3 linked regions of the Macaca mulatta genome follow. The protein of the gene in region 1 purifies or fractionates together with the protein of each later gene. This does not show direct contact. Links are inferred from orthologs where the notes say so. Each region holds a gene or a part of one and is shown in the gene's direction. Other genes may lie near its edges.

Evidence for each region.
Region 2: the proteins of HDAC6 (region 1) and TUBB4B purify together in Homo sapiens (affinity purification with mass spectrometry, with the first as the bait; 4 studies listed by BioGRID). This does not show direct contact. The link is inferred for Macaca mulatta from reciprocal best matches to the Homo sapiens genes HDAC6 and TUBB4B.
Region 3: the proteins of HDAC6 (region 1) and CCT5 purify together in Homo sapiens (affinity purification with mass spectrometry, with the first as the bait; 3 studies listed by BioGRID). This does not show direct contact. The link is inferred for Macaca mulatta from reciprocal best matches to the Homo sapiens genes HDAC6 and CCT5.

Annotation. Positions count from the first base shown.
Region 1 is NC_133426.1:48,893,554-48,897,203, forward strand, and holds part of HDAC6 (protein deacetylase HDAC6), read left to right. Parts: intron 1-398; coding exon 399-525; intron 526-634; coding exon 635-700; intron 701-794; coding exon 795-854; coding exon of another isoform or gene 855-863; intron 864-922; coding exon 923-1,012; intron 1,013-1,351; coding exon 1,352-1,458; intron 1,459-1,547; coding exon 1,548-1,615; coding exon of another isoform or gene 1,616-1,627; intron 1,628-1,855; coding exon 1,856-2,024; intron 2,025-2,112; coding exon 2,113-2,241; intron 2,242-2,436; coding exon 2,437-2,605; intron 2,606-3,303; coding exon 3,304-3,437; intron 3,438-3,650.
Region 2 is NC_133420.1:5,210,353-5,213,168, reverse strand, and holds the end of TUBB4B (tubulin beta-4B chain), read left to right. Parts: intron 1-146; coding exon 147-255; intron 256-336; coding exon 337-447; intron 448-919; exon of another isoform or gene 920-920; coding exon 921-1,981; 3' UTR 1,982-2,126; downstream 2,127-2,816. Other genes in the region: CIMIP2A (ciliary microtubule inner protein 2A), read right to left, coding at 2,127-2,215, 2,598-2,715. UniProt on the Homo sapiens protein: Tubulin is the major constituent of microtubules, a cylinder consisting of laterally associated linear protofilaments composed of alpha- and beta-tubulin heterodimers.
Region 3 is NC_133411.1:11,400,214-11,403,863, forward strand, and holds part of CCT5 (T-complex protein 1 subunit epsilon), read left to right. Parts: intron 1-1,059; coding exon 1,060-1,120; intron 1,121-1,581; coding exon 1,582-1,746; intron 1,747-2,869; coding exon 2,870-3,068; intron 3,069-3,650. UniProt on the Homo sapiens protein: Component of the chaperonin-containing T-complex (TRiC), a molecular chaperone complex that assists the folding of actin, tubulin and other proteins upon ATP hydrolysis.

The DNA of each region.
Region 1 (3,650 bases):
TGATCTAGAATACCCCACAGAGTCAGGAGCCCCCATGATCTGGGATAGACCCTAGAGCTGAGCCTGAAATTGGGTGGGCACTGAGGGGGCAGTGATGTTTGCTGAGGAAGAGGTTCTAGTGAGAGACTAAATGAATGAGTGAGTGAGGTAATGGATAAATAAAGATAAGAATGGATGAATGGTAAGATAATTAAATTGGTGACTGAATGTAAGGATAAATTAATGGAAGAATGGATTCATAGATTAAATAATTAATGGGGAAATTAATGAATGAGAGAATGAACGAGTGGTTGAATGGGGAAATGAGTGGTAGAGGAAACTGGCAACTGTTGGGTTGGGAGTGTCTATGGGGATTGACTCTTCTCCAACTCTCTTACCTCTTTTTCTTCTGCCCCCAGTGTCCTCTATTTCTCCATCCACCGCTATGAGCAGGGTAGGTTCTGGCCCCACCTGAAGGCCTCTAACTGGTCCACCACAGGTTTCGGCCAAGGCCAAGGATATACCATCAATGTGCCTTGGAACCAGGTCAGCATCCACCCACCCTTTGTCCCCAAAGTGAGGCCCAGCCCTGCCCTTCTGTCAGCAGCTCGGGACAGGTGGCTGAACATCCCCCACTACACTCCTGTGTCTGCAGGTGGGGATGCGGGATGCTGACTACATTGCTGCTTTCTTGCACGTCCTGCTGCCAGTCGCCCTCGAGGTCCTGGGGGTCTGGGGTGTGTTGGGGGAGAGGAGTGGCCTTGAAGGTTAGGCCGTGAGGGCAGGTAGCCTCATGGAGTCTGTTCCTCCTTCAGTTCCAGCCTCAGCTGGTCCTGGTGGCTGCTGGATTTGATGCCCTGCAAGGGGACCCCAAGGTAAGGCAGGCTCCCTGGGGCGGCAGATGGGCTGCACGGAGCCAGACTGACCCTCCATGTCCCCCCAGGGTGAGATGGCCGCCACTCCGGCAGGGTTCGCCCAGCTAACCCACCTGCTCATGGGTCTGGCAGGAGGCAAGCTGATACTGTCTCTGGAGGTGAGTGACTCACCTTCGTCCCTCAGCCTGTGGATCCTGGAGGGCTTAAGAACGAAGCTTTCAAGTCCAAAAGGAGTTCCTGGCCCAGCATTTCACTTACTAGCTGGACAACCTTGCATAAGTCACTTCACTTCTTTGTGCCTCCGCTTTCCTTCTGTAAAACGAGCATAATAATGGTAATCACCTCATATCATTGTCCAGTGAATTCAATGAGGCCCCCTTCTAAGTTCCTTGTTGCTTGACATTTGGTATGCACTCTCTTATTATTATCATCATTATTGTTATTCCCTGGTCATGTCTGGTCCTTTCCTGATCCCCCTTCACAACTCCTTGCCCCAGGGTGGCTACAACCTCCGCGCCCTGGCTGAAGGTGTCAGTGCTTCGCTCCACACCCTTCTGGGAGACCCTTGCCCCATGCTGGAGTCACCTGGTGCCCCCTGCCGGAGGTGAGCCCCAGTGGAGGAGGGGAAAGCGGGAGCCTCACTGCCTGCCCACATTCCTTGACCTCATATTTTCTCCCTGCCCTGCCCTGCAGTGCCCAGGCTTCAGTCTCCTGTGCTCTGGAAGCCCTTGAGCCCTTCTGGGAGGTTCTTGTGAGATCAAGTAGGAAGTGGGGTATGGGCCTGGTGTGGGGTGGACGTGGGATGAGCCCTGGGGCAGACTGTCTTCGGACTTTCTCTGACTTTACTGGGCTGCCTTGGAGGTAGAGGGTCAGGCCCTCTCTCTCCCTGGGCCCTGGTTTCAGGCCTCCCACCCCATTTTCTATTTGGGGTCACCTGAGTTCCAGAGTATGACGGGGATTCAGAGTGAGAGGGTAGGACAAACGTGGCCTCCCCCTTGTAGCTGAGACTGTGGAGGGGGACAACATGGAGGAGGACAATGTAGAGGAGAATGAGGAGGAAGGACCCTGGGAGCCCCCTGTGCTCCCAATCCTGACGTGGCCAGTGCTACAGTCTCGCACAGGGCTGGTCTATGACCAAAGTATGATGAATCACTGCAACTTGTGGGACAGGTAGGCATTTGGAGGGCTGGATGAGTAGGTGTTGGGGGTCCCTCCCCATCAGGCACTAAGCCCCTACCTCTCATTTCCCCACTGCTAGCCACCACCCTGAGGTACCACAGCGCATCTTGCGGATCATGTGCCGTCTGGAGGAGCTGGGCCTTGCTGGGCGCTGCCTCACCCTGACACCGCGCCCCGCCACAGAGGCTGAGCTGCTCACCTGCCACAGGTCAGACCCTGGTGCCTGGGGTGGGTGGCTTCCCAGGACTGTGGATGAGGTCTCAGGAGCTGGAGCTTGGGTTTCCCCTCCCAGGGAGCTGCTGCAGGACTTGAGAGGGGCTGAAGTTCCTGTCTTGCGGGTGGGTTCCAGGGAGGGGATGGACCCTCCTCACTGTCCTGCCGGTGCGCCTCTCTGTACCTCCAGTGCTGAGTATGTGGGTCATCTCCGGGCCACAGAGAAAATGAAAACCCGGGAGCTGCACCGTGAGAGTTCCAACTTTGACTCCATCTACATCTGCCCCAGTACCTTCGCCTGTGCACAGCTTGCCACTGGCGCTGCCTGCCGCCTGGTGGAGGCTGTGCTCTCGGGAGAGGTGTGTCCTCTGGGCTGGGGAGAGGAGGACCTGGGGAGAATAGAAAAAGAGGGCCACCTGCTGTTTCTGGAGGCTCTGAGAGAGTCAAGCAGGGCCTGAGGAAAGGGGCCATGGGGAGGGGCACAGGAGGGGGCGGGCCTAGAGGCTGCAGTAATAATGGAAGGAACTGGAGAAAGGGAAGGGTGGCCAAGTGCGGTGGCTCACATCTGTAATCCTAGTGCTTTGAGAAGCTGAGGTGAGCTCAGGAGGTCAAGGCTGCAGTGAGCCATGATTGTGCCACTGCACTCTAGCCTGGGCAACAGAGTGAGACTCTGTGTCAAAAAAAAAAAAAAAAAAAAAAGGTTGGGCACGGTGGCTCATGCCTGTAATCCCAGCACTTTGGGAGGCCGAGGCGGGCGGATCAAGAGGTCAGGAGATCGAGACCATCCTGGGTAACACGGTGAAACCCTGTCTCTACTAAAAAACACACAAAAAATTAGCCGGGCGTGGCGGTGGGCGCCTGTAGTCCCAGCTACTCAGGAGACTGAGGCAGGAGAATGACGTAAACATGGGAGGCGGAGCTTGCAGTGAGCCTAGATAGCACCACTGCACTCCAGCCTGGGCGACAGAGCGAGAAAAAAAAAAGAAGAAGGAAGAAAGGAAGGTGAGGGTGAGCTGGAGGGCAGGCTGTCCGATCTTAGCACCCTGCTGCTTCCTAGGTTCTGAATGGTGCTGCTGTGGTGCGTCCCCCAGGACACCACGCAGAGCAGGATGCAGCTTGCGGTTTTTGCTTTTTCAACTCCGTGGCTGTGGCTGCTCGCCATGCCCAGGCTATCAGTGGGCGTGCCCTGCGGTAAGGACTCCCTGGGGACCCCCCAAATCCTGATCCTTGTGGGGACCTGGATGCTCTCCCCAGCCCATTGCTTACTCATCATGCCCCATGGTCCAGCTCCCCAGGACTTCCCCAGAAAGAAGTAAGGGTACAGCCCTTACCCAGAGAAGGACTGAGGATGGAGCCTCTCAGTGCCTATTTAGATAGGACCCCCAGATCATATTACCTGGGTGC
Region 2 (2,816 bases), on another chromosome or scaffold:
AGGAACCCGGGGGCCAAGGCGCGCAGGGCGGGGGAGGGGCGGGGAGGGCCGGGCTGCCGCACCCGTCCGGGGCGGGGCTGCCTCCCTGCGCACCGGCCGCGGTGACTCAGCCCCGACCCGCCCGGGCCCGCCCGCGTCCCTTGTAGTTCTGGGAGGTGATCAGCGATGAGCACGGCATCGACCCCACGGGCACCTACCACGGGGACAGCGACCTGCAGCTGGAGCGCATCAACGTGTACTACAACGAGGCCACCGGTGAGGCCCCGGCCCTTTCCCCGACCGCCCTCCGGGGACCCCGCGGCCCCTGCCCTGGCTGATGCCCTCCCGTCCCCGCAGGCGGCAAGTACGTGCCCCGCGCCGTGCTCGTGGATCTGGAGCCCGGCACCATGGACTCCGTGCGCTCGGGGCCCTTCGGGCAGATCTTCCGGCCGGACAACTTCGTCTTCGGTGAGCTGCGGCTGGGGGCTGGGCGGCGGCTCAAAGGTCAAGGGGCTGCTCCAAGGGCACCTCCGTGGGAACTGCGCAGCCCGGGCCCCTGGACGCTCTTCTTTGAACCACTCAATCCCCTCTCCTAAATCGGCTTTGAGAGCAAGGTCCAGCTGTCTGCCGAGGCGAGGAGTCGCCACACACGTAATCTCCCTGCAGGGAGCTGAGCTGGGGGCAGTGGCTGTTGCTCTGTCCTTGGGAATTGGCAGTGGCCCCCCCCTCTCCGGGGAGGGGTTTGTTAAGCTCTCAGGTTTGGCTCTTGACTTAATCTGTAGCAGGGCAGGCTGCCGTCCTTTCACTTTGAGGGGTCTGTTTGGTCTACCTGCAGGGTGAATTCTGGGGTCAGCTCACACCATGTCACGAGGTCCTTTTCGCATGGTGGTGGTGACCAGTAGTGCTGTCTAGTTGGCTGATAAATGACTGTTTTCTCACAGGTCAGAGTGGTGCTGGGAACAACTGGGCCAAGGGGCACTACACAGAAGGCGCGGAGCTGGTGGACTCGGTGCTGGATGTTGTGAGGAAGGAGGCTGAGAGCTGTGACTGCCTGCAGGGATTCCAGCTGACCCACTCCCTGGGTGGGGGGACGGGGTCTGGGATGGGTACCCTCCTCATCAGCAAGATCCGGGAGGAGTACCCAGACAGGATCATGAACACGTTCAGTGTGGTGCCTTCGCCCAAGGTGTCAGACACAGTGGTGGAGCCCTACAACGCCACCCTCTCAGTCCACCAGCTCGTAGAAAACACAGACGAGACCTACTGCATTGATAACGAAGCTCTCTACGACATTTGCTTCAGAACCCTAAAGTTGACCACGCCCACCTATGGTGACCTGAACCACCTGGTGTCTGCTACCATGAGTGGGGTCACCACCTGCCTGCGCTTCCCGGGCCAGCTCAATGCTGACCTGCGGAAGCTGGCTGTGAACATGGTCCCATTCCCCCGCCTGCACTTCTTCATGCCCGGCTTTGCCCCGCTGACCAGCCGGGGCAGCCAGCAGTACCGGGCCCTGACCGTGCCCGAGCTCACCCAGCAGATGTTTGATGCCAAGAACATGATGGCTGCTTGTGACCCCCGCCATGGCCGCTACCTGACGGTTGCTGCCGTGTTCAGGGGCCGCATGTCCATGAAGGAGGTGGACGAGCAAATGCTTAATGTCCAAAACAAAAACAGCAGCTATTTTGTTGAGTGGATCCCCAACAATGTGAAAACAGCTGTCTGTGACATCCCGCCCCGGGGGCTAAAAATGTCCGCCACCTTCATCGGCAACAGCACGGCCATCCAGGAGCTGTTCAAGCGCATCTCCGAGCAGTTCACGGCCATGTTCCGGCGCAAGGCCTTCCTGCACTGGTACACGGGCGAGGGCATGGACGAGATGGAGTTCACCGAGGCTGAGAGCAACATGAACGACCTGGTGTCTGAGTACCAGCAGTACCAGGACGCCACGGCCGAGGAGGAGGGCGAGTTCGAGGAGGAGGCTGAGGAGGAGGTGGCCTAGAGCCTTCAGTCACCGGGGAAAGCAGAGAGGCAGTGCGAACTCTTTATTCCCTCCCAGCCTGTCCTGTGGCCTGTCCCGCTGTGTGTGCACTTCTGTTTTCCCTGTCCTCATCCCATGCTGTACAGACACCACCATTAAAGCATTTTCATAGTGTGCGGTTTCGCCTCGCCCATTCCTTCCAGTAGGCCCTCCGGGTGCTATTGCCGAATGTCAGTGCGTAGTTGTCCTGCATGGCTGCGGGGAGCCAGGCTGTAGGTGAGCTGGGCTTATGTACCCAGGGACCAGCATGGGCTGGACACCCAGGCTTCAGAGAAGTGTGCAGCTGCCCTGGGCCCTGGGGATCTGCTTGGTGGGGAACCTGCTTCTTGAAGGCAGGCCTGACCTGTTCTGGGTACCCAACCTTGGGGCCCATTGGCCTGTGTCTGGGACTTTAGCCCCCTTCCGAAAGGGGTAGGGAGGATGGCAGACAATCCTACCCCAACCAAGGTGGGACCCTGGTTGGTAACGGTGGTCAGACAGGTGGTCCTGAACCAGCAATGAAGGGTGGGCAGGTACAGCTGCCCCTCCCCACGTTGGCCAGGGTGTGTCCGTGTGACCCTTCCCGCCCTGTACTCACAGGGGATGAACCCCATGTAGAAGGGGATCAGGCCTTGGCTGCTGTAGATGTGGTTGCTGGGCCAGTGTGTTCCAGGCAGCTTCTCACCCAGGTCACAGTGGGGGTTTCTAAATAGGAACTGGGGAGACAGGCAGGTGCTGACAAGCTGCCACCCCAGCAGGCAACCAGAGAGTAAACTCTCCCAGTGGGGGCCTGGCCGGAGGGCCGGCACTCTCCGTG
Region 3 (3,650 bases), on another chromosome or scaffold:
CCTGTAATCCCAACACTTTGGGCGGCCAAGGCGGGTGGATCACCTGAGGTCAGGAGTTCAAGACCAGCCTGGCCAACATGGCAAAATCCTGTCTCTACTAAAAGTACAAAAAAAAAAAAAAAAAAGAGCCAGGTGTGATGGCGCATGCCTGTAATCCCAGCTACTGGGGGGCTGAGGCAGGAGCGTCGCTTAAGCCTGGGAGGCGGAGGTTGCAGTGAGCCAAGATCATGCCACGGCACTACAGCCTGGGCAACAGAGCAAGACTCCGTCTCAAAAAAAAAAAAAAAAAAAAGCCAGTCACTAACTTTGATCTATAAATATAATTATTGGGATTTCAGGTGGGTGGAGGAAGATTTTTAAAGCAAGAACATTTTTTCTTTTTATTTTGTAACGGGGTCTCATCATGTTTCCCAGGCTGATCTCAAACTCCTGGCCTCAAGCAATCCTGCCTCAGCCTCCCAAGTAGGTGGGGTTACAGGTTCTAGCCACCGCACCCAGCTCAAAAGATTATAACTCTGCAGTAAATCCAGTAAATCATGGTGTGACAATGAGGTGTTGTATGTTTACAGTTGGACTGTTTCTCATGAGTACAGGCCCCTTCTTATCTGCAGATGTGGAACCCACAGATATAGAAGCCTGGATGCAAGGGACTTGAGCATCTGTAAATTTTGGTGTCCTCAGGGGCTCCTGGAACCAGTTCCCCATGGATGCTCAGGGATGACTGTGTTTCACAGTGATCTTGCAAGGCCTGTAAGGTCATGGTCATACTGTCCCTGTTCTCAGCTGTAAATGAGCTGGCAAAAGAATCTGTCTCATTAATGTGTTGAAAATTCAGTGAGATAACACAAAGCACTGAGTTCTTTTTCTTTTATATAAGAATTGCTTATTAAAGCTGGAGTTATAAATGTTATAATACTTAGACCTGTCTGTTGCCCCTTAAATGTAGAAGCTTCTAGAAAACAGAAACTAAATCGTAAGTGATTTTTAATCATCAGATGTGTGCTTTTAACCATTGAAATTGTATGTAACAGTGTTTGCTTTTTCTGTTTGTTTCATTAGTCTCATATAATGGCAGCAAAGGCTGTAGCAAATACAATGAGAACGTCACTTGGACCAAATGGTAAGAGTCCACCATTCCATGTTTTTAGCAAAAGATTTAAATCATAAAACTGTCAATACAAACCTCTCTACAGAAAGGTGGAGTATTGAGGGCAGCATCTTACTTCTTTAACACAGCGAAAATTTTGTAGTGTATCTCAGGTTTCTCAAACATGGTTATAATCGCGTGTAGTTTTAGGTCGGGCCTTTTTTTTTTTAACACGTTTAATATCATTTCATTAGCATTTTCCAAATCATAGTTGTCTTGAGATTAATACCATACTTAATGATGCTCCATAATTTTTTGCCATTTGTGTTAGCCAATCTCAAAATGCCTTCACGCAGCTATTATTTTGTGTATGTTGAAATATTTGCATATAATAAATTGCATAGATAAGAGCTGGGTGCAGAGGTCTTTTTTTATAGTTTGTGATATTGGTTGCCAGTTGTTTGCCCAAAGCCTACTAAATGTTGTCTTTTTAGGGCTTGATAAGATGATGGTGGATAAGGATGGCGATGTGACTGTAACTAATGACGGGGCCACCATCTTAAGCATGATGGATGTTGATCATCAGATTGCCAAGCTGATGGTGGAACTGTCCAAGTCTCAGGATGATGAAATTGGAGATGGAACCACAGGAGTGGTTGGTAAGAAAAGACAAAACATCCTTCCTTTCTCATTTAAGAGATGTCATTTAAGACTACAGGGCTAACATGCCTGCCGAGATTGTTGTCTCTGAATCAGAGCCTGAGGAGACAGACAAATCCAAGTTGAAGAACACGCTACAAAACAAATGCCCGGGACCTTCAAAACTGACAGTGTTAAAAAAGAATAGAAAGAGGCCTGGGGATTGTTAGGCAAGGAGAAATCTGTAATGATTGATTGGGCGCTGATTTTGTTTGTCTTTTAAGCTCTAAAGGAGGTTTGGGAAAAGTAGAGGAATTTGATTATGGATCATGTACTACAATGCTGAGTTTCCTGAGCGTGACCGCTGTATTGCATATGTGTAGGAGAATACCCTTATTCTCGGCTGTTTGCCTCAATACTTAGGAGTAACATGTCATGGTTTCTGCAACTAATTCTCAAATAGCTGAACAGAAACAGTTTGTACATGTAGAGAAAATGTGGCAAAATGTTAATAAGTAAACTGGTACTCATTTTAGTATTGTACCTTGTTTTTTGTAGATTTGAAATCTTTAAAAAGTTGGGGAAATTGAAGACAAAATATCAGTAAAGTTCTTTTCTGCAGATGAAACTTGAATTCATTCATTCAGCAAATATTTACTGGATACCATTATATGCCAGGCACTGTTCTCAGTGCGCTTGGAGAGCAGTAGATTTAAACAGAATTCATCTATGTGACCCTAAAATGAGGAGAAAGGAGGATGGGGGTGGGGGGAATAAATAATAAACAAATGTTTTAGTCTTATCACCAGGATGAATTTCACTGAATAGACCTTGGCCCATGAAACATAATAGCTTTTTACCTCTTAGAAAAATGTTCTTTTTACATTATATTCTTTAGTTACATTGTTTACATCACTGAGGGTTGAATGTTCGTCTATAAGGGGACATGTGTCCTATTAGACCTTTGCTAGAACCAAAACAAGAGGCTTTCTTTTAAAAATAGATAGCTTCTGCCTCTAAGATGACTTCCAGCTTAATTCTGGAAGCTTTTTCTTTCCATGACAGCATCTAACTTGTGCTGATTATACTAAAAGTGAAGTTTTGTTGTTTTCCTAAACTGATTGTCTGCTGGTTTGTTTGCAGTCCTGGCTGGTGCCTTGTTAGAAGAAGCGGAGCAATTGCTAGACCGAGGCATTCACCCTATCAGAATAGCTGATGGCTATGAGCAGGCTGCCCGCGTTGCTATTGAACACCTGGACAAGATCAGTGATAGCGTCCTTGTTGACATAAAGGACACCGAACCCCTGATTCAGACAGCAAAAACCACGCTGGGCTCCAAAGTGTACGTTTTGGTAGACGATACGATCACACATTTGTAGAGGCAGCTTGTTTGCCGTCTCTTAAAGGCAGCACAAAATGACCACTGGTGGATTTGTGTTGATTTTATGATTTCTTTCAGTTACTTGGTTTTGCTTTGTTTTTATTGTAGATGTAGATACATGCATTTTGTATTGTAGTTGAGAACTGAGTTTCTAAGTTCATGCATAAATCCCCTTGACAATATTTGCAAAATGTAGTTATTTTAATTTAGTAGAATAGATTGTGTTAAAAATCAGTCAGGGCTGGGTGCAGTGGCTCCTACTTGTAATCTTAGCACTTTAGGAGGCCAAAGCAGTAGCCTGCTTGAGCTCAGGAATTCAAGACCAGCCAGGGCAATATAGTGGGACCCCATTGCTACAAAACATAAAAAACCAGCCAGGCATGATAGTGCACTCCAGAGGCTAAGGTGAGAGGTTGAGGCACAGCAAGCCATGATCATGCCACTGCACTTCAGTTTGAGCAACAGAGCGAGACCCTGTCTCCAAAAAAAACTAGAAAGGGTCCTACCTGGAGCGTATGTGAATTTTCTTTTTTTTTTTTTTTT